Linked DNA regions of Arabidopsis thaliana. The protein of the gene in region 1 interacts with the protein of each later gene in a pairwise test. Each region holds a gene or a part of one and is shown in the gene's direction. Other genes may lie near its edges. The genes, in order: BASS2, TBL36 and GF14 PHI.

Region 1 (6,482 bases):
AGATTTGGTTTTGGTTTGTTCTCCCTCTATCTCTTGTTCTGTGTCGTCGTCGTCGTCACATTAATCTCTCACCACTAGACAACTGGTAGGTGAAGCCACCATTAATGCGGAAACTTTTCTCTCTCTCTTTCTCTCTGTGTGTGTTTTTTTTTGTACGTTAAAGTGAAATAACAGTTGAGAAGAAGGGAGGCTCATTAATAATCACTTAGCGGGAAGAAACAAATTGTTTATTATTTAGGTCTATGTGGATATAATGCAAGAGATTATAGTCTGTTTTATGTGGATTACTAAAACCGAAATAACCGAATTAAGAGATACCGAACCGAACCAGATAATCATAAACATCCAAATAGTGTAGTTCATCTTTTATAACAACTTGGAACTAAACCGAAAACGGAATGAGTATTCGAACTACTTGAAATACAATTGTATGATTGTATCTCATAAAAGGAAATTATTTTTCTAATTGAAATTTCAAATTTATGGTTTATGTACAAGAAATTGGAACCAAACAAGATAATGAACTTTAAAGAATGATAAAAACAATTTAAGGAGATCAATATCTTAATATCAGAAAATATTAGTCAATGTCATAAAAATCAGAAAATGTTAATTATATTTATGTTTGAGATAATCCAAATATTCAAAACTATATTTATAAACCAGAAAATTTAGTTATGATTAGGCTCAAAATAACTAAAATATATGAATGTACATACTTATATGTGTCTAGAGTAAATATTTTTTGCAAACTAATTCATTAGATTGAACAAATTATTTAGTTCTTTTTTCCACATAGTTTATGTACAAATATTTAATTCAAACCGAACCCAATAAAATTTGGTTATATGTCGGTCCGAACTGAGAGATAACCGAACATAGTCAAACCGTAAAATAACTACCGATCCGAACCGCATGTTTTTTGGTTCTATATGAATTCTAAACCCCTTAAAACAATTTACTCAAAATCGATCTGAGCCAAGTCGATTATCGGATGTCCACGTTAGATTTTTCCAAAAGAAAAAGAGTAGAATAAAATAGTCATTCTCACAACTAATAAATACCTACAATTTACATACTTGTTTTGTATTATTATCTTTGACATGTGTAATGGGGACAGGTATAAATGGACCGTTAGATTAGAGGGATACTAGTCTATTATATACTGTACCTATTTTGATTAATTTATTGATTCTAGCAACATTCTACTTTCTTCTCACCGAATTTTTCCTTCTACTGTTTTTTAATTAATTATAGCAATGTTTTTTTTCGAACATTTCAAACATGTATTTAGAGTGACTTGTAATCTAGAAATATCAAGATGAGCTGGAATCTTTTGAGTCAATTTGGTCTGGTCTGGTTCTATCATTTTCATTTTAGGATTAGAATTTTCAACTCATGTATTAATGGAAGTATGAAGTCAATTCTAACATGTTTAGTGGTTATTGGTTAGAATAAATTATGCATCATTATTGGTCATAAAAGATAGATAAAGTTTTTAACGAATAATAACAAAATAATTAATAGAAATGGTAAAAAAAAATAACAGTATACAAGTAGATATTAGTCTCTCTCTCTCTTTTTTTTTGTCTTTCAACAAATTGTTATGTGATTACAAATAGTTTTTTCTTTTTGTTTTCAAGAAACAGAAAATAAAAAATAATGATATACGATGACGAAGTACGGGTCTGGCCTGTTTTGATCAAAATCAGATCTACTCTTTGTTAACATTAAGAGATTGATGACTAGCCATCGGATCCATTCTCTTTGGTTTCATGGCCGATCATAGCTGATCTATTTCTTTGAATTTTAAGCTAGCATTCTATTAATGCTTTTATTTCATTGGTCCTCTCTTGTTGTAATCTCCTTTCAAACTATGTAGATAATTTTTTGTTGAATAAAATTTAACATTCCAAATTTCCAACCAAAAATCTAATATCTTAAGGTCATTTTGTTTCCTCCCGAGACCTTTCTTCACTTTAGGAGGTATTGAGACTCAATTCATCAAGCATCTAATCTAACGAGACAAATGAAATAAAAGTTTGGTTGCGGGTTGATGACTTTTGAAAGATGTGACAGTCTTGTTCTTTTCCTAAAAACTAGGAGTGGATATATCGTAAAAGTGTCTTAAGATGCCAAAGCTGAGAGAGTGAGTGTTGAACAACCTGCGTTGAATCATTGTAGTTCAACTTGTTTATATCCAACAATATTCATAGAGAGACATAACCTTATGTCATTCCATTTAGTTTGTAGAAGTAGAGAAGATTCGAACATGCATCTTTAAATAAACGAAGAATGGGAATTTAAAGAGAATGCAAAGAAAGAAAAGTAGAGTAGAGGCCAAGAAACATAAACTAGATTATACATCTCTCGACGATTCTACTTATTATTTATCTCTTAAGAAATTTATGCATATCCCCCAACAAAACCAAAAACATAAGATTTTCAAATGTAAAAATGTCGATGAAACATACAAAATTTGGCAGTGAAAGAGTGAAAATCAGCTTCGTCGGCCAAAGATTTGTCTGTCGCCAACCAAAATATTAATATTAATGGTTACAAACAAAGTATGGGGGTTTCTTGGCTGGGGCATGGTGCTAATCATTATCCAGAAAATTCAAACAAACTGTCACAGAACTCAGCACTCACATTTAATGAAAACTTTGTATTTGTTCAGTCGAATAAATTAACGTGTAGTGTTTCAAAATGTGTTAAATCAATACTTCATCATGTGATTGTCTTGATTTTATGAGTTTATCTAACTAATAAAGCTATTTTCACAGTAAAAATAGAGGCAAATCATTTGGTGGAAATAGACCATATTTTCAGCATATTTCTACATCTTGATTGACTTTTCCAACATCAATAAATATGTTTTTGCAGCACAGTTTTCAAATATAGAATTTCTGTGGTATGAACCATAGTGAATATGTGCATCTTATCCATATATAAACTAAAATGTATAAAAATATACAATCTTGTTTAACAATACAATCAGACTGTAAACAAAAAAAATTCAATAGATATGATTGATTAATACATGTGAAACTTAGGCATACGACTTTTGAGCGAACCGAACCGTTCGGTTTGGATAATTGGTTTTTCGAGTATCTAGTTAGGAGATAAGACTGCCAAATTTAACCGAACAAAAATTCGGTTTGGATCGGTTCAGTTATCAGTTAACTCAGTTCGGTAATGTGTCTCAAATCCATACAAAAATTTGGTTTGTATAGCAATTTTAAAGAATTTTGGTATTAGTTTATAAAATTGGATATGATTTGTTTATATTAGTTTAAAAAATTAGAAAAAATGGTTAAAAGATTGTTCGATTAACCGTACCTAACCAATAGGAAAAGTTACCGATCGGACCACTTCTATTAATCGACTGGTTAACCGAACACTCAAATCTCAATTAGGTTCTGTTCGAAAACACATCGGAAATGACGACAGGAAAAAAAAAAAAAAACACACACACATCGACGTAGTTGTAGTAGAATCGATCCAAAAATGTTAAGTAGATATTTTCCAGATAGGATTGTTGATGAAAGGGGCAGATGAAGAATGTGTGGCTCTCCTCTCTTTCACAACACTCCACAAAACCCTTTGTCTCCTCCTCATTTGGAGATGTCACTAACTCATCTTCTCTGATTCACCAACATCCTAAAACCCTTTTGATCAAAACATGGCTTCCATTTCCAGAATCTTACCAACAGATGGCAGATTAAGTCAATGCAGAATCAACACCTCGTGGGTTCCTTCTACAACCAGAACTCAAACTCACTTAGGTATCTATCCTTTATACTTCTCTGGTTTCAGATTTCTAAGAGTCAATTTGCTGAATCATATATTTTTCTTCAGATTTTCCCAAGTTAGTTTCTGTTAGTAACTCTGGGATAAGTTTGAGGATTCAGAATAGTAAACCTATTAGCCCTGTCTTTGCTCTTGAAGCAACTTCCTCCAGGTATTGTAATTTGGTGAATGTGTAAACAAGTTTAAGGATTTGGGTTTATTAAAAATTGTAATTTTTACAGGAGGGTTGTTTGCAAAGCTGCTGCTGGTGTGTCAGGTGACTTACCTGAGAGTACTCCTAAGGAACTTAGTCAGTATGAGAAGATTATTGAGCTTTTGACAACCCTTTTTCCACTTTGGGTACTTATGCTATACCTTTCTTTGATGAAGTTTGAAACTTTTTGTGAGTTTGATAACTGATATGGAGCAATGTGGTTTTTGTTTGTTGTGCAGGTTATTTTGGGAACACTTGTTGGCATCTTCAAGCCATCCTTGGTATGCTTTTTATGCTTCTTTGTTATTGTTTATTTACTGTAGCAATCTATGTTTTTGGGGCTTATAGATTTAAGTTTTGTAGGTTACATGGTTGGAAACAGATCTCTTTACTCTAGGTCTTGGATTTCTTATGCTTTCCATGGGTTTGACTCTTACGTTTGAAGATTTCAGAAGATGTTTACGTAATCCATGGACGGTGAGAGCCAATGAACACTGGTGTGTTTTTTCTATCTGTTAGATACAGTACCTGTTTAACGTTTAGAGTCTTTCTCCTGCAGGTGGGTGTTGGTTTTCTTGCTCAATATATGATCAAGCCAATTCTAGGTTTTCTCATTGCAATGGTATGTTTCCACTAATGTCTATCACATTTACTTCTATTTGCTTCTCTGAAATGGATGCTTATGCAATATTCTATTTTGTTTAAGATATTGGTTCTCTTCGTCCGTTTTTACTTCTATGGGCTGTATACGCTTTAGCCAAATCAAATGTTGATTGGAATATTCTTTCTTTGATTAACTTAGATCCAAGAGTCGTTGCATGTCCAAACATCACTTTTTCTTGAAACGTTTGAATCAAATATTTGCTTTCTAGTTACTGTAGAAACAATTCCTGGCATACTCACTTACTCCTTGAGGGATTTCTCTTGTAGAGAGGATTGATATGGACATATGCTATGTGCATTTGGAAACACTACATTTGGTTAACATTAATTGTTGAGCAGCCAACTAATACAAACTTTTTCTGTGTGTTTTATTTTAGACTCTTAAGCTTTCGGCACCTCTTGCGACTGGCCTTATCCTAGTCTCATGCTGCCCTGGAGGACAGGCGTCAAACGTTGCTACTTACATTTCCAAGGGGAATGTAGCGCTCTCTGTACTCATGACAACGTAATCCTTCTATTTTCACTTCTTTCTCTTTTCGTTCTTTAATTTTATTGGTCAGATTTCATATACATTATCTGTTCTTTAATTTATTAGGTGTTCAACCATTGGGGCTATTATAATGACTCCTCTTCTTACTAAGCTTCTTGCTGGTCAGCTTGTTCCCGTTGACGCTGCTGTGAGTTTTCTCTATAACTATTTTGAATCGTTTCATTCAAAATTGCATTGATAAGATACATTTCTTTTTATGTATGAAATATAAGATACATTTCACTTAGCTAAAATATGAATAATCATGGTTCAGTAAAAGTTATTGAATGATTTAAAGTAGAATGAAGCGCAAGAACTCTATTAGAATATAGTTGCAGCCCTCCACAACGAAAGCTTATGGATCCATTTTTTTACGTCAGGGACTTGCTCTTAGTACGTTCCAAGTAGTGTTGGTTCCTACCATAATTGGAGGTAAGTATGGTGCTACGTGTTTCCGGAAAAATGAATTTGTGCTTATATATCCTTAGGGACTAATGTCTTTTTCTGCATTGTGTGCAGTTCTGGCAAATGAGTTCTTTCCTAAATTTACGTCTAAGATCATAACAGTGACGCCTCTAATCGGAGTCATTCTGACTACTCTGCTCTGTGCCAGCCCTGTAAGTTCATATATCCAGATATATATATTTTTTTTATTGAATTTTGAGACTGGAATTGGTATTGATTACTACCTTATCTCTTCTGAAAAGATTGGACAAGTTGCAGATGTTTTGAAAACCCAAGGAGCTCAACTTATACTCCCGGTGGCACTCCTTCATGCTGCAGCCTTTGCTATTGGCTATTGGATTTCAAAGTTTTCTTTCGGCGAGTCCACTTCGCGTACCATTTCTATAGAATGTGGAATGCAAGTAAGTTACTTTCTCCTATACCGTAGATATACATTGCCGTTTGCTTTACTAAGGCTTCTTTTTGAAAATCTGTGTACTTTGCAAACCGCAGAGTTCAGCGCTCGGGTTCTTGCTTGCACAAAAGCATTTCACAAACCCTCTAGTTGCTGTTCCTTCTGCAGTCAGTGTTGTCTGTATGGCGGTAAGTTTTCATAGCCATTTCACTAAAGTTCACATGCAAATTCCTTAAGTTTAATTATGTTCAATGGCATTCTGCAGCTTGGCGGGAGCGGCCTGGCCGTGTTCTGGAGAAACCTACCGATTCCGGCAGATGACAAGGATGACTTCAAAGAGTAAATGAAGTAGGAAAGGCGGTTTGCATCTTCTCCAAACGATGTGATTGTTTTGTTGTAATGTTAGTAAACATTACAAAATTTGTGTT
Region 2 (6,482 bases), on another chromosome or scaffold:
GTTGGATATTGAAGGCAAGCAGCCTTCTAACACACTTGTTTGTGGTGACTCTGGAAATGATGCTGAGCTTTTCAACATTTCTGACGTATATGGCGTAATGGTTAGTTCCCAACTACTTTTTTTTAGGTTCGATCATACTTGACTACGCGTGAGTGATTGTGCTTATATTTTTACTGTTTAAGGTTAGCAATTCGCATGAAGAATTATTGCAATGGTATGAAGAAAATGCAAAGGACAACCCAAAAATATTTCATGCGTCTGAGAGGTGTGGAGCTGGTATGATAGAAGCTATTCAGAGGTTTAATTTGGGACCAAATGTCTCTCCTAGAGATGTTATGGACACTGAAAATTTCCATGGGGAAAGTTTGAATCCTGCTCATGAGGTTGTTCAGTTTTATTTGTTTTATGAGAGATGGCGTTGTGGAGAGGTGGAAAAGTCTGACAAGTACTTGCAGAATTTGAAATCGCTCTCTGTAAGTGTGTTTATTTGACAAAAAAAAGCTCTCTAGCATCTAACGTAATGGAAATTCAAGTGCTCAAATTGATAATTTTGAAGATGTTCTTGATTGCTTGTGTTGTGTAGACTTATTAGTTGACGTAATTGTTATGCTTTTGCAATGTTTCAGAGTCCACTTGGTATTTTTGTTCATCCGTCTGGAGTGGAGAAACCGATACATGAATGGATAGATGAGATGGAAAATTTATACGGTGATGGGAAGGAAAAGAAGTTTCGCATTTGGTTGGATAATGTTACGTCTTCTCATATCAGTTCAGATACATGGCTTGCAAAATTTGTAAAGCATGAGTTATCTGGTAAGAAATCTTGTTCTTCAATTACATGGCTTATACTTGTGACTTATCGAGCTAGGAAATGATTTAGCAGAAAATACGATCAACTGATTTGTTTGATTTCTCATCATAAGGGTATACTGTAGAAGTTTGCTTCCATGTTCTAATGTCTAGCTCGTGTTTACAGAGGGAAAAGTACGGTCTTGTTCAACAAAAGTCTTACTGAGTTATAAGGTAAACCTTGATTTATGATCCTTTTAAGATTTCAAACGATTAGATTGGTTAAATAATATTGGAAAAAAATAACTGAAAATGGGTTAAAATTGAAAGGAGGAAAAGCAAAGGCTGACGTGGATGCACATCCACCAATCATGGTTAGATGAATCTTCTTCAGATGATCAAGAAAAATGGATTTTCTAAAGGATTATCTTAATCTCGACTGACATACTAAAGATGACATCTGTTTGGGACAGAAGCTAACCAAAGAGCATAGTGTTTGTTTTGTGTTATGTTTGTTTGGGGATGGTGTGAGTTTGATAAAGCATGAAGGATACTAAAAGCTGAAGAAGGTGTTGCCATGTCTTGGTTTCGTTTCATTAATACTTTTTTACATATTTGGGTTAACTTAAAACTATTAATAAGGAAGGTTGGGTCCTGAATTTGGTCTGTTCATGACCTTTTGAGGGCAGGGAGAGTTTTGGGTCTCTACAACAAAACCTACATTTCTTTAGTCTTACAAAACCTACCATTGTGTTTGATTTGCAATTCTTTTTTCTGGTTTATATGGATTGTTTTCTACTATTTCTGTTTGTTTTTGTTGAGAAACTATTTCGATTTTTTAAACCATATACAAAACGCTCCACCAAACTCACAAATCCCGCCTTGGATACTGTAATCTGTTTTTATAAAAAAATGATATGATGGAGAGAAGAGGAGACGCAAGTCACGGGACATGATTTCAAGCATAAGTCTAATTACTAATTACCACCACTTTCCGTAATTAACGCCCTTTTTCACTTTATCCACTTTTTGTTGCCCATCTTCTTTATATTATTTCTTTCTCCAAGCCCACACTGCTCAGTTTCCTGGTCAAATGGCTACCTCAGAGACTCGAGTCTTGTTCTTATCTTTGTGTCTCATCCTTGGCAAAGTAGTTTTGTCTCAGTTTGATGAGTTATGGCTAGTAGGGGACGATGATCCACTCAACGCCTTGCAGACGAGGCGTGAAAGAAGAGAGGAGAGGTGTGATTACTCGGTGGGGAAATGGACGTTCGATGAAACGTATCCGCTCTATGATTCAAGCTGTCCATATCTGAGTTCTGCACTAAGTTGCCAAAGAAATGGAAGACCCGACTCTTATTACCAGAAATGGAGATGGATCCCTAAGGCTTGTTCACTACCAAGGCACACTCCACACTCCTCTTACTTCTTACATTACTTCTTTTTAAAATTTCTGTCTCATCAAGTAAAAAAGTTGGTTTATATTGGCTTTGCATGGTTAATTGCAAGATGAATAAATTGACTAATGAAAAATGGGAAAGAGACATTAATATTAACCAAAATAGTGGCTCTTTCCATGATGGTGTTTAGGTTTGACGCATTGAAATTTCTTGGGAAAATGAGAGGAAAAAGAATAATGCTGGTTGGAGATTCAATGATGAGAAACCAGTGGGAATCTCTTGTCTGCTTAGTACAGTCTGTTCTTCCCACTCATCGTAAGAAGCTCACTTACAATGGTCCTACGATGTCTTTCCATTCTCTGGTAATTAATAATCACAAATCTCCTTTTGAATCACATATACATCATTGGTTAGTAGATGCAACTATTAAATTTGGTTACTATACAGGATTTTGAGACATCAATTGAGTTTTGTTGGGCTCCTCTGCTTGTGGAACTCAAGAGAGGAGTTGACCGTAAAAGGGTGTTACATTTGGACTCAATCGAAGACAATGCTAGATATTGGCGTGGTGTAGATGTTCTTGTATTCGATTCCGCTCACTGGTGGACTCACTCTCAGAGATGGAGTTCGTAAGTCATCTGAATAAACACTTACATCTTTCCTTCAAAAGCAAATGATTAGTGTATAACGGTTCATAGACGTCTATGTTCATTGTATTTGTTATTGTGTCTCATTTTACATCAGATTTGGGATTTGTGACAGTAACGCAAGCTATTGATGTTTTAGGTGGGATTATTACATGGATGGGAATAAGATCTTCAAAGCTATGGACCCAATGGTTGCTTATGAGAGAGGACTAACCACATGGGCTAAATGGGTTGAGATAAATCTTGATCCATCCAAAACAAAAGTCATTTTCCGCACTGTCTCACCGAGGTTTTTTCTTATATTCTCCTCTTAATCTCAACATATATACAAAATGGACACCATTAATTCATGTACATAAATTCTTGGCAGAGAGAGTGGTCAGATGTGCTACAACCAGAAACATCCCTTGCCTTCTTTATCTTCTTCCACCAAACCCCACGTGCCTCAACAGTCAAGAGTGTTGAACAAAGTGCTAAGGACAATGAAATACCGAGTGTATTTATACGATATCACAACAATGTCTGCGTATAGAAGAGACGGTCATCCTTCGGTGTTCAAGAGAGCAATGCACGAGGAAGAGAAGCACCATCGTATCGCTGGACCTTCATCAGATTGCAGTCATTGGTGCTTGCCCGGTGTCCCGGATATTTGGAATGAGATGCTTTCTTCAATTATCTTAACCAATGCTGTATGAGCTATAATAAGAGTCTGTTTTTACTCATGAACAATGGTGTTACTTATATGAATCAGTGGTTTATATATTACATATCCTTTCCCAGCTAACAAATATCCCAATATCAAAGACAAGACAACTCAAAGGCCTTTAAGCATAAAGTTCATGCATCACAATGATTTTCGTGTTTTGGTTATTTCTTACCTAACTCAATTTTTTTCCTAAAACGTTTTAGGTTAAGTTTTGGTGTTTTCATCAAAATGGCAATAACCATTTGATTAGAGTTTTACAGTTAGTGAAGTTCTCAATTTTTGAATAAAATAATATTTTTAAAATTGTAAAGGCAATGAGTCATCATTATTCTGTCGTATTCTCCGTCGCTTTCATTTTCAACTACTTTGAAGCTGCAGATCTCTTTTGGAGATTCACATGGCGACGGAGAAATGGGTGTTCATGGTGACGGCGCAAACTCCGACGAACATTGCGGTGATTAAGTATTGGGGAAAGAGAGATGAGGTTCGGATTCTCCCCGTTAACGATAGCATTAGCGTAACTCTTGATCCTGATCATCTCTGCACAGTCACCACTGTTGCCGTTAGTCCTGCTTTTGATCGGGATCGAATGTGGCTCAATGGCAAGGTACACTCGCTTCATTTCCCATCACGATCTCTCTCCTTTTGCTGAGATTCCAATTATCGAATTACAAAGATTTTTGTTGTTGTTGTTGTTTCATGTTAGTGTAGGAAATATCTCTTTCTGGAAGTAGGTACCAAAATTGTTTGAGGGAAATACGAGGTCGTGCTGGTGATGTTGAAGACATGGAAAAGGGGATCAAGATAAGGAAGAAAGATTGGGAGAAATTGAATCTACATATTGCTTCTCATAATAACTTCCCTACTGCTGCTGGCTTAGCATCTTCAGCTGCTGGATTTGCTTGTCTAGGTATTCTGCTTTTTCTCTCTGTTGATGATTATGAGCTTGAGAATGGCTTGTAGTTTATGTCAAACTGTTTTTTTTGCCTACAGTTTTTTCTCTTGCAAAGTTGATGAATGTAGATGAAGATCCAAGCCATCTTTCTGCAATAGCCAGGTACCTATGTAGTGGACTTCCTTGCACTATATATCAATGCTTTGATTTATGTATAGTCATCTACTAATGCATGAGTTGTGATAGTGAAGTGAAATCTGACACTCCTCTAGGAATTAAATGGTACTGATATTCATGGTTTGATTTCTGTTTGCTCATGTAGGCAAGGTTCAGGAAGTGCTTGCCGGAGTTTATTTGGTGGATTTGTCAAGTGGACAATGGGAAGCAAAGAAGATGGAAGTGACAGCGTTGCAGTTCAACTGGCAGATGAGAAGCATTGGGATGATCTTGTTATCATCATTGCTGTGGTATGGCTCTTTTAAAAAATATTGTGACTTTTTGGCAGGATTACTCCGACTCTCCCATCTTCCAGATCATGCTGTTTTTCAAATTAACCATATGTTACTTTTACTGTCGTCATACTATTTGATTGAACGAGATATATAAATAAGTATTTCCACGACAAGATTTTGAGTTGCTCTATTTCAACGTGTGAATATAGCATTATGGACAAGTTCGAATGGTCAGAAATCTGTTAAAATTTAGTGCCTTCATTCAAACTTTTTATAACAGGTGAGTTCACGGCAGAAGGAAACGAGCAGTACCTCCGGAATGCGTGAAAGTGTTGAGACAAGTTTGCTTTTACAGCATAGAGCAAAAGTACGTTCTGTTCTTGATGTTTAATGAACTTCTGTATTACCTATTAAACTTCATCCTTTGTTTTTTCTCTATCTATAGGAAGTTGTGCCAAAACGGATTTTGCAAATGGAGGAAGCTATAAAAAATCGAGACTTTGCATCGTTTACACAATTGACATGTACAGATAGTAATCAGTTTCATGCTGTTTGTCTGGATACATCTCCACCCATATTCTACATGAATGACACTTCACACAGGTATTCTCTATTTTGACATATTTCTATATGCTGCTTCAGTTTATTTGTTATCAAACCCTTATTTATTCTAATATATCAAACTGTTATCTGCTTTTCCAGAATAATTAGCTTAGTTGAAAAGTGGAACCGTTCTGAAGGGACACCACAGGTAAAGTTCTAGTGTCTTGACTCAACCTTTTGAAAACAACTAATAACTCAAAATGTAAATCTGTACAGGTTGCTTACACATTTGATGCTGGTCCAAATGCTGTACTGATTGCACGCAACAGAAAGGTCGCAGTCCAATTGCTCCAGGGGCTTCTGTACTATTTTCCCCCTAAGTCAGACACTGATATGAAGAGGTGAGACACAGAACAATGTGTGATCCGTTTAACTGCGGTTTTCTATGAGTTTTAAAATTGACTAAAAAGCTGTTTGTAATGATTTTGGTTTCTTTATTTACCAGTTACGTAGTGGGCGATAATTCAATTCTAAAAGAAGCAGGATTAGATGGAGCAAGTGGTGTAGAGAATCTGCAACCTCCACCTGAAATTAAAGACAACATTGGATCTCAGGATCAAAAAGGAGAAGTCAGTTATTTTATCTGCACTAGACCTGGAAAAGGTCCCATCGTGCTTCACGACCAAACTCAAGCCCTTCTCGATCCTGAAACAGGCCTTCCTAAGTGAGCATTCTCTCTGCTTCAAACTAATTATTATGATTAGCATCTCCTTTAACTGCAAGTTTAAGATACGATATATGTGGCAGAATAGGTGCAGGTACGTTGTCATCTAACTATTAGCTTTCCTATTTCCAAATAAAAGAAATTCATTGGTTTTGTTTTACCAGAGAAAAATCTTTTTACTGCGCTGCAGTAAATACTTTAAAAGACGCAAAAAAATAAAATGAAATGAAATTTATTCATGAGGAACAGAGCAATACTATTTTTTTGGGGTGGAGACAAACTGTACAACTTTTTTTTTGATTATCTAAACATATGTAAAATTGAAT
Region 3 (6,482 bases), on another chromosome or scaffold:
GTGACAAGTCCATATTCTCATCTCCTTTTTCTGAAACTTCATCAAAATGCTTCTTTCTTCGAATGGTCCTCTTCTTCTTTACAAGAAATTCAGCTTCTATATCCATATCCTCTGCAAGTCATACAACCTCAAACTTTCAATCTCAAATCTTGTCTCTCTATATTTTTGAAGATATGAAACGAGTCCTTTTAGTTCGATAATAGCAACATCAATATCAATGTCAGCCGATTGTAAAGTCTTGCTCACTCGGTTGACAACAGCTAGAAGATCATACCAAAGAATCATACCAAAAAGAATCTCAAACACTCCAATACCATGTGTTTCACTCTCTGCAAGGCATTCACATCACTTCGTGTTTTTGGATCGTCGGTCTTTTCTGCCAAATAAAGTAAAGCATCTCTGATTTCAAGAGTTTGAAAACGTATGGCTTTGACACCTTCGAGATGACTCTCTCAACAAATTTGAGATGAAGATTTAAGTGTTGGACCTTTTACCATCTCTTTAAATATATCCCACCTGTTTGTTGAAGATACAAACAAACAGTATACTCGCTGTAAACTCCCAAAAAAAGACATTGCCTTTGTCGAAGAAGATGTTATATCGCAAAGCACAAGGTTGAGGCTATGAAAACCACATGGTGTGTAGAATGCTCTTGGATTAATTTCCAACAATCTTCTTTGTACTCCTTTGTTTTTTCCTTTCATATTAGATTCGTTGTCATAACCTTGTCCTCTCACATCATCAATCTCTAACTCCATATCAACTAATGCTTCTTTAATCTTAGAGAATAACCCTTCACTTGATTTATCTTTCACTTCCAAAAATGTCAAATAAAACTCTTCAACCTTCGTTAACGTTGAAGAAATATTCACACATCGAATGATCATAGTCATCTGTTCTTTATGACTAATATCCGGAGTACAATCAAGAATTATGGAACAGTACTTTGAAGCATGTATTGTCTTCATGATCATAAGTCTAATCTCACCGGTCAAGATACCTATTAGCTCATTTTGAATCTTGTGACTTAAATAATGAGAATATATCTCAGCTGCACCAATTCTTCTGATATGCTCTCTCATTACGACATCAAATTCTGCAATCATTTCAATAAAACTCAAAAAATTCCCATTTCTGTCTTGGCCAACCTTTTCATTTTTTCCACGAAATGCTAAATTATTTTTAGCGTGAGTTTTCACCAATGCAATGATCCTTAGGAGTACTTCCCTCCAATGAATATTATCTTTGTTTATTGCTTCTTGGGCATGCTTATCAATCGTTTTATTTTTCTGTAGTCTAGACTCTAACTCAGCTCGACGAGTCATACAAGTAATGTGATCATGGCTGCCTTTGTGTTCTTTGAGTCGCTTTGAAAGATTTCTCCAATCATTGTACCCGCTAGTTGCCAAGTAACCACCTTTTTTGTCATGTCTCAACAACTTACAACAAAAACAAAAGACTTTAATCTAATGCTTTTGAGTAAATCAACCATCTTCTATCTTGTTTCTCCCCATTCCTCATTTCTCTTATGTAAAATGTTTGAGAAAAATGCCTACCAATACTATCTTTACGAAACCGGTAATTAGTTGATAACCTTGTCGCTAGACCCTTTTCAACTAATAAATCTCTGAATCTCATATTCATGTCATCCCAATTTACTGGATCGGAAATATTGGAAGGAAGTTCTTCTTTCTGCCCACTTTTCTTCTCTTCATGAACAACTTCATCTTGATCTTTGTTATCAAACTCATTCTCATCCACTTCATTCGTCATCCAAACTGTCCACATTATTGTTGTTATCAAGCATCTGCTTGGAGGAGCCAATGTAGGCATGTGCTCTCTCTTCTTGTTATCAAGCATCTGCTTGTGATATTTTTGTACAATTAAGCTAACATAACTTTAACAAAAAAAATCTGTAATAATAAGTTTATATGTACAATCTAATTCCAACAAATCAAATACTAAACTAAATATCATTGATCAACTAATTTTTTTATTTCCTAAGAACATATCTCTTTAAAAGAATTGTTTGAAGTTTCTTCCATTAGAATAAGTCTTGTGAAAATTTTATTTATTACATCATTAAGTAAAACTTCTTTTAAATTAATAGGTTAAACAGTCTATATATATTTAGTTTTTTTTTTTGAAAAATAAAATAAATTGCATAAAATAAATTGGCACTAATTTTAAAATAAAACGTTCTAAAGATATTTTTTATACAATATATAATAATTAATAACCTAACAATTTCTTTCTTTTTTAACAAAACAATTTCAAAATTCAACTTAAAAAAAAAATTGCTCAATCAACAGAAATTACAAAATGCCAATATGGACGTAAAAGGTCCATTAAGGAATCAAAATACAACAAAGTAACTTTTTCCACATAAAAATAAACTAAGGGCATCTCCAACGCACAGATACAGTATGAGTTTCTCAATTCTATTTTTTTAATCAGTTAATAATAAATATATTATTTATTTAAATTTTATATTATAAAGACAAAATCTGACCAATCATAAATAACAAGGGGTTGAGTTGGGTTTCTCATAGTTTCTCATATGAGAAACGTTTCTCTTTCTTTCTCCACCTTTTTCATTACTTTTTATTTTTTTAATCTCCAGATACTCATTAAAAAACTGCTGTTGGAGATGACCTAAAAACCGACCCAAAAAGTATCAGAAAATTCCCGTGTACAAAATTTAATCCAACGGTCCTCCTTCCATCTCCTTTCGCAATCGTCGCTCCCCACTCAAACAAAAACCAAAAAAAACAAAACTATCTTTTAAACCCCAACAAAAAAAAAATTGAAATTCGAAAACAGAACAAAAAAAAAAATCTCTCTCAATCTCTCTCAGATCTGAATCCATCCATCACCGATCTCTAATGGCGGCACCACCAGCATCATCCTCGGCGAGGGAAGAGTTCGTGTACCTCGCAAAGCTCGCAGAGCAAGCGGAACGTTACGAAGAAATGGTTGAATTCATGGAAAAAGTCGCTGAAGCCGTTGACAAAGACGAACTCACCGTCGAAGAACGTAATCTCCTCTCCGTCGCTTACAAAAACGTAATCGGCGCTCGTCGTGCTTCCTGGAGAATCATCTCTTCCATTGAACAAAAAGAAGAGAGTCGTGGTAACGATGACCATGTGACCACGATCCGTGATTACAGAAGCAAGATCGAATCTGAGTTATCGAAAATCTGTGACGGTATTCTTAAGCTTCTTGATACTAGACTTGTTCCTGCTTCTGCTAATGGAGATTCTAAGGTTTTTTACCTTAAGATGAAGGGAGATTATCATAGGTATTTGGCTGAGTTTAAGACTGGTCAAGAGAGGAAAGATGCTGCTGAACATACTCTCACCGCTTACAAAGCTGCTCAGGTTTATTCTCCGATCTGGAATTTTGTTGGATCTCATTTCTAGGTTAAATCATGATTTGTGTGAATCTGTGTTTCTTTTGTTTGTTTGTAGGATATTGCTAATGCTGAATTGGCTCCAACGCATCCGATTCGTCTTGGTTTGGCTTTGAATTTCTCTGTGTTTTACTATGAGATTCTTAATTCTCCAGATCGTGCTTGTAATCTCGCTAAGCAGGTGATGAGAAAGTTTCTGATCTATTTGGGATTTGAGTCATTGTGTTGGTACTACTCTATGTGTATTGATATTGAGATATAACAGGCGTTTGATGAAGCCATTGCTGAGTTAGATACTCTTGGAGAGGAGTCATACAAGGATAGTACCTTGATCATGCAGCTTCTTCGTGACAATCTTACTCTCTGGACTTCTGACATGCAGGTAAACGATCGAAACGAAACCGTTCTTTGCTTCATCGAAACTGCTGATAATGGTTATGATAGAATAGTTTTGGAATTGTCCACCAACATAGTTCATTGCTGATAATGGATATGATAGATAGGCTTAGTGGCTCATGATGCTGGAATTGTGCACACACATTGTTCATAAGCTTTGAATCAGATGGTTTAGTTTTGCATTATGTATGATAATACTCTCATGAGCTTCTTGGTCTTGATCTCTGATTCTGTTGTGTTAATTTCGACGATTAATCAGGACGAAAGTCCGGAGGAGATTAAAGAAGCAGCAGCACCAAAGCCTGCTGAAGAACAGAAGGAGATCTAAGTTTGTGGTTTCTTTTTTCAGTATTCTTAAGTTATGCAATTATAATTATGTTTCTGCTTGGTGTTTATTTTCTAATCTTTCCTTTGCTATCCCCGAAGCTTCTAAGGCCGTCTAATTCTTGTCCTTTGTTTGCTTTTCTCAATCGTGGATGCTACTGGATTTCTGTTTTGTTTTACTTCTTCTCTTGATTGATTGCATTTCCCGGCTTATGCCTTGTACTTGAAACTCAGTTTTCTCTCTTATTAATGATTTGCCATTCACCTGGTTATGCGTTTTTGTATACATGTGACTGCGTTTGCAATTGTGTTTTCTGAGTTTGCTTAGGTTATGCACACACAATTTACGCTGTTTGAGAATGAGCGCTTGCTAATACTGATACAGATTATTACAGGAAACACTGACCTCAAAATTTGCGTGAATTTCGATGAGATTTGCGTAGGAATAACAAGTGTTGGGCATATAGGTTTGAATCAAATGGGACTTACCAAAGTTTGTATCAACCTCGTTCACCAGTTATTGTTTTGCAGACCTCAACCAAAAGTTAACATGAACGAGGTCAATACCTCTCAAAAGCTGATTAATTGATAGCATCACTCATAGTAAGGTAGAGATTAATGTTCAAGAAAACGTTAGGCGTTAATTGGGCGGTAACCCAATGCAACGCTTCATCGGGTCTAAACAGTTTTAGGCGGTTAAAGCGTTTATAGTATAAAATATTATAAATATGTTATTATATGTAAAAGTTATTTAAAACATAAATTAAAAAATAAAAATCTTAAATTTACAAAACAAAAAATAGATAAAACGTACATTAATTCATATCAAACAACATTTGAACATTAAACTATATATATGAAGACAAAATTTAACAAATTTGAATTTGAGTAATTAAAATTTGGAAAAAAATATTAAAACGAAGCATATATAATCTTAGGCGGTCGAAACTGTCGTTTAGGCGTCATGTGAAAACCTAACATTCGATCTCTACGTTTTCACGTCCGCGGGTTACTCTAGAATAATTTGAAATGAGTTTATAGATCCATGTAGAACCCAAATAAGTTTGTGATCTTCCTAAATGAATGGCACATGAAAATATGCCAGACAACAATTTTTTTGACAGAAGATCTTAAGCTCATAAGATGTAAACTTCAACGAGCCATCTCAAGTAACCATAGATAGCTGTCATGGATTGAACATTAATGTAAATTATTTATTTGCAATAACATTTTTAATATCAAATTTTTATGATTGTGTCCCTAATTTGAATACCGTCTAGATCCGCCAATAAGCAAGACTTGGTAAGGTTGACTTGAAGAAATTTTACGAGATTTCTTTCCACTATTATTCTTTACATTCTTGTTATAATGGTTTTTCTACCTTTTTTTAGTTTACTTGTGATTTTTGACAAATAAAGCTGTTACTTTGGCTAAAGATTCCATTGATTAGTTGTTTTTTTTTTACTTTCCTTGTTCCTTTTTTTTTGAATTCAAAATTTTATCTCAAAACAAATCCTATATATATATATTAATAATAGGAGAAAATGTCATTTAAATCATCAATTATCTTTGACAAAAAAAATGATCAATTATCAATTTTTGTTAATTTAAAGCATAGTCTACGTACCTCATAATTAAAATGCTCAATTTTTTGTTGACTTTTAATTTAATCGCAAATTTTTGTTGACAAAGCCAATTGAGCCACATCGTAAACTAGCTAAACGGAACAATTAGATGTTGTTATGTGTCTGTTAATGAGTCTATTAATTAGCTAAACAACGGTGTTTTCAATCATAAGAAAACTCCTAGATCGATTAATCGAGGAGAGTTTCTTTTAGTAAAAACGGCGTTGTTTAGATGAAAACAACTTCGTTTAGCTATTTAACATACACATAACAGTGTCTGATTGCTCCGTCTAGTTAGTTAATGATGCGTTTTAATTGGCTTTATCAACAAAAATATTTGTAACTAGATTGAAAGTCAACAAAAAAAAGAGAGCATTTTATTCACTAAGTACTCATACTTTAAATCAACAAAAATGTAAATGACATATTCCTATAAAAATATATATCCGTTTGGAATGCTCACTAACCAATAACCTCTATCAGACAAAATTTTATAGATTTTCATATCGTTTATTTTCTTTTAGATTAAGTCGACATTTTGGATTCCTTACATATAATTTACATATAGAAAAGCACATGAGTCATAATATTTGGAATTTCAACTACGTCGATTTTTTGGTGGACATTGATCGTTTAATAAATTTGTATCTCATCATTTTGAGTAATTTATAGAACGCGCTCACAAGTTGTAATCCCAACCCCATTACCTAAGAAAATAAGAACAC

Evidence for each region.
Region 2: the proteins of BASS2 (region 1) and TBL36 interact in a protein complementation assay, tested with the Arabidopsis thaliana proteins (one large-scale study listed by BioGRID).
Region 3: the proteins of BASS2 (region 1) and GF14 PHI interact in a protein complementation assay, tested with the Arabidopsis thaliana proteins (one large-scale study listed by BioGRID).

The regions. Positions count from the first base shown.
Region 1 is NC_003071.7:11,475,071-11,481,552, reverse strand, and holds the start of BASS2 (Sodium Bile acid symporter family), read left to right. Parts: upstream 1-3,410; 5' UTR 3,411-3,682; coding exon 3,683-3,785; intron 3,786-3,858; coding exon 3,859-3,961; intron 3,962-4,031; coding exon 4,032-4,149; intron 4,150-4,242; coding exon 4,243-4,284; intron 4,285-4,366; coding exon 4,367-4,480; intron 4,481-4,562; coding exon 4,563-4,625; intron 4,626-5,043; coding exon 5,044-5,171; intron 5,172-5,261; coding exon 5,262-5,343; intron 5,344-5,575; coding exon 5,576-5,627; intron 5,628-5,714; coding exon 5,715-5,812; intron 5,813-5,902; coding exon 5,903-6,061; intron 6,062-6,152; coding exon 6,153-6,242; intron 6,243-6,319; coding exon 6,320-6,397; 3' UTR 6,398-6,482.
Region 2 is NC_003074.8:20,082,146-20,088,627, reverse strand, and holds TBL36 (TRICHOME BIREFRINGENCE-LIKE 36), read left to right. Parts: upstream 1-1,660; 5' UTR 1,661-1,882; coding exon 1,883-2,193; intron 2,194-2,379; coding exon 2,380-2,551; intron 2,552-2,636; coding exon 2,637-2,818; intron 2,819-2,975; coding exon 2,976-3,125; intron 3,126-3,206; coding exon 3,207-3,531; 3' UTR 3,532-3,657; downstream 3,658-6,482. Other genes in the region: AT3G54270 (sucrose-6F-phosphate phosphohydrolase family protein), read left to right, coding at 1-100, 183-473, 627-813, 977-1,023, 1,120-1,209; AT3G54250 (GHMP kinase family protein), read left to right, coding at 3,940-4,149, 4,254-4,452, 4,536-4,599, 4,760-4,904, 5,170-5,256, 5,335-5,492, 5,592-5,640, 5,709-5,833 and 1 more. UniProt on the Arabidopsis thaliana protein: May act as a bridging protein that binds pectin and other cell wall polysaccharides. Probably involved in maintaining esterification of pectins. May be involved in the specific O-acetylation of cell wall polymers.
Region 3 is NC_003070.9:12,864,379-12,870,860, forward strand, and holds GF14 PHI (GF14 protein phi chain), read left to right. Parts: upstream 1-2,747; 5' UTR 2,748-2,885; coding exon 2,886-3,380; intron 3,381-3,470; coding exon 3,471-3,593; intron 3,594-3,677; coding exon 3,678-3,794; intron 3,795-3,983; coding exon 3,984-4,136; 3' UTR 4,137-4,512; downstream 4,513-6,482. Other genes in the region: AT1G35150 (General transcription factor 2-related zinc finger protein), read right to left, coding at 1-109, 181-329, 725-1,431, 1,595-1,860; AT1G35170 (TRAM, LAG1 and CLN8 (TLC) lipid-sensing domain containing protein), read right to left, coding at 6,360-6,464. UniProt on the Arabidopsis thaliana protein: Is associated with a DNA binding complex that binds to the G box, a well-characterized cis-acting DNA regulatory element found in plant genes.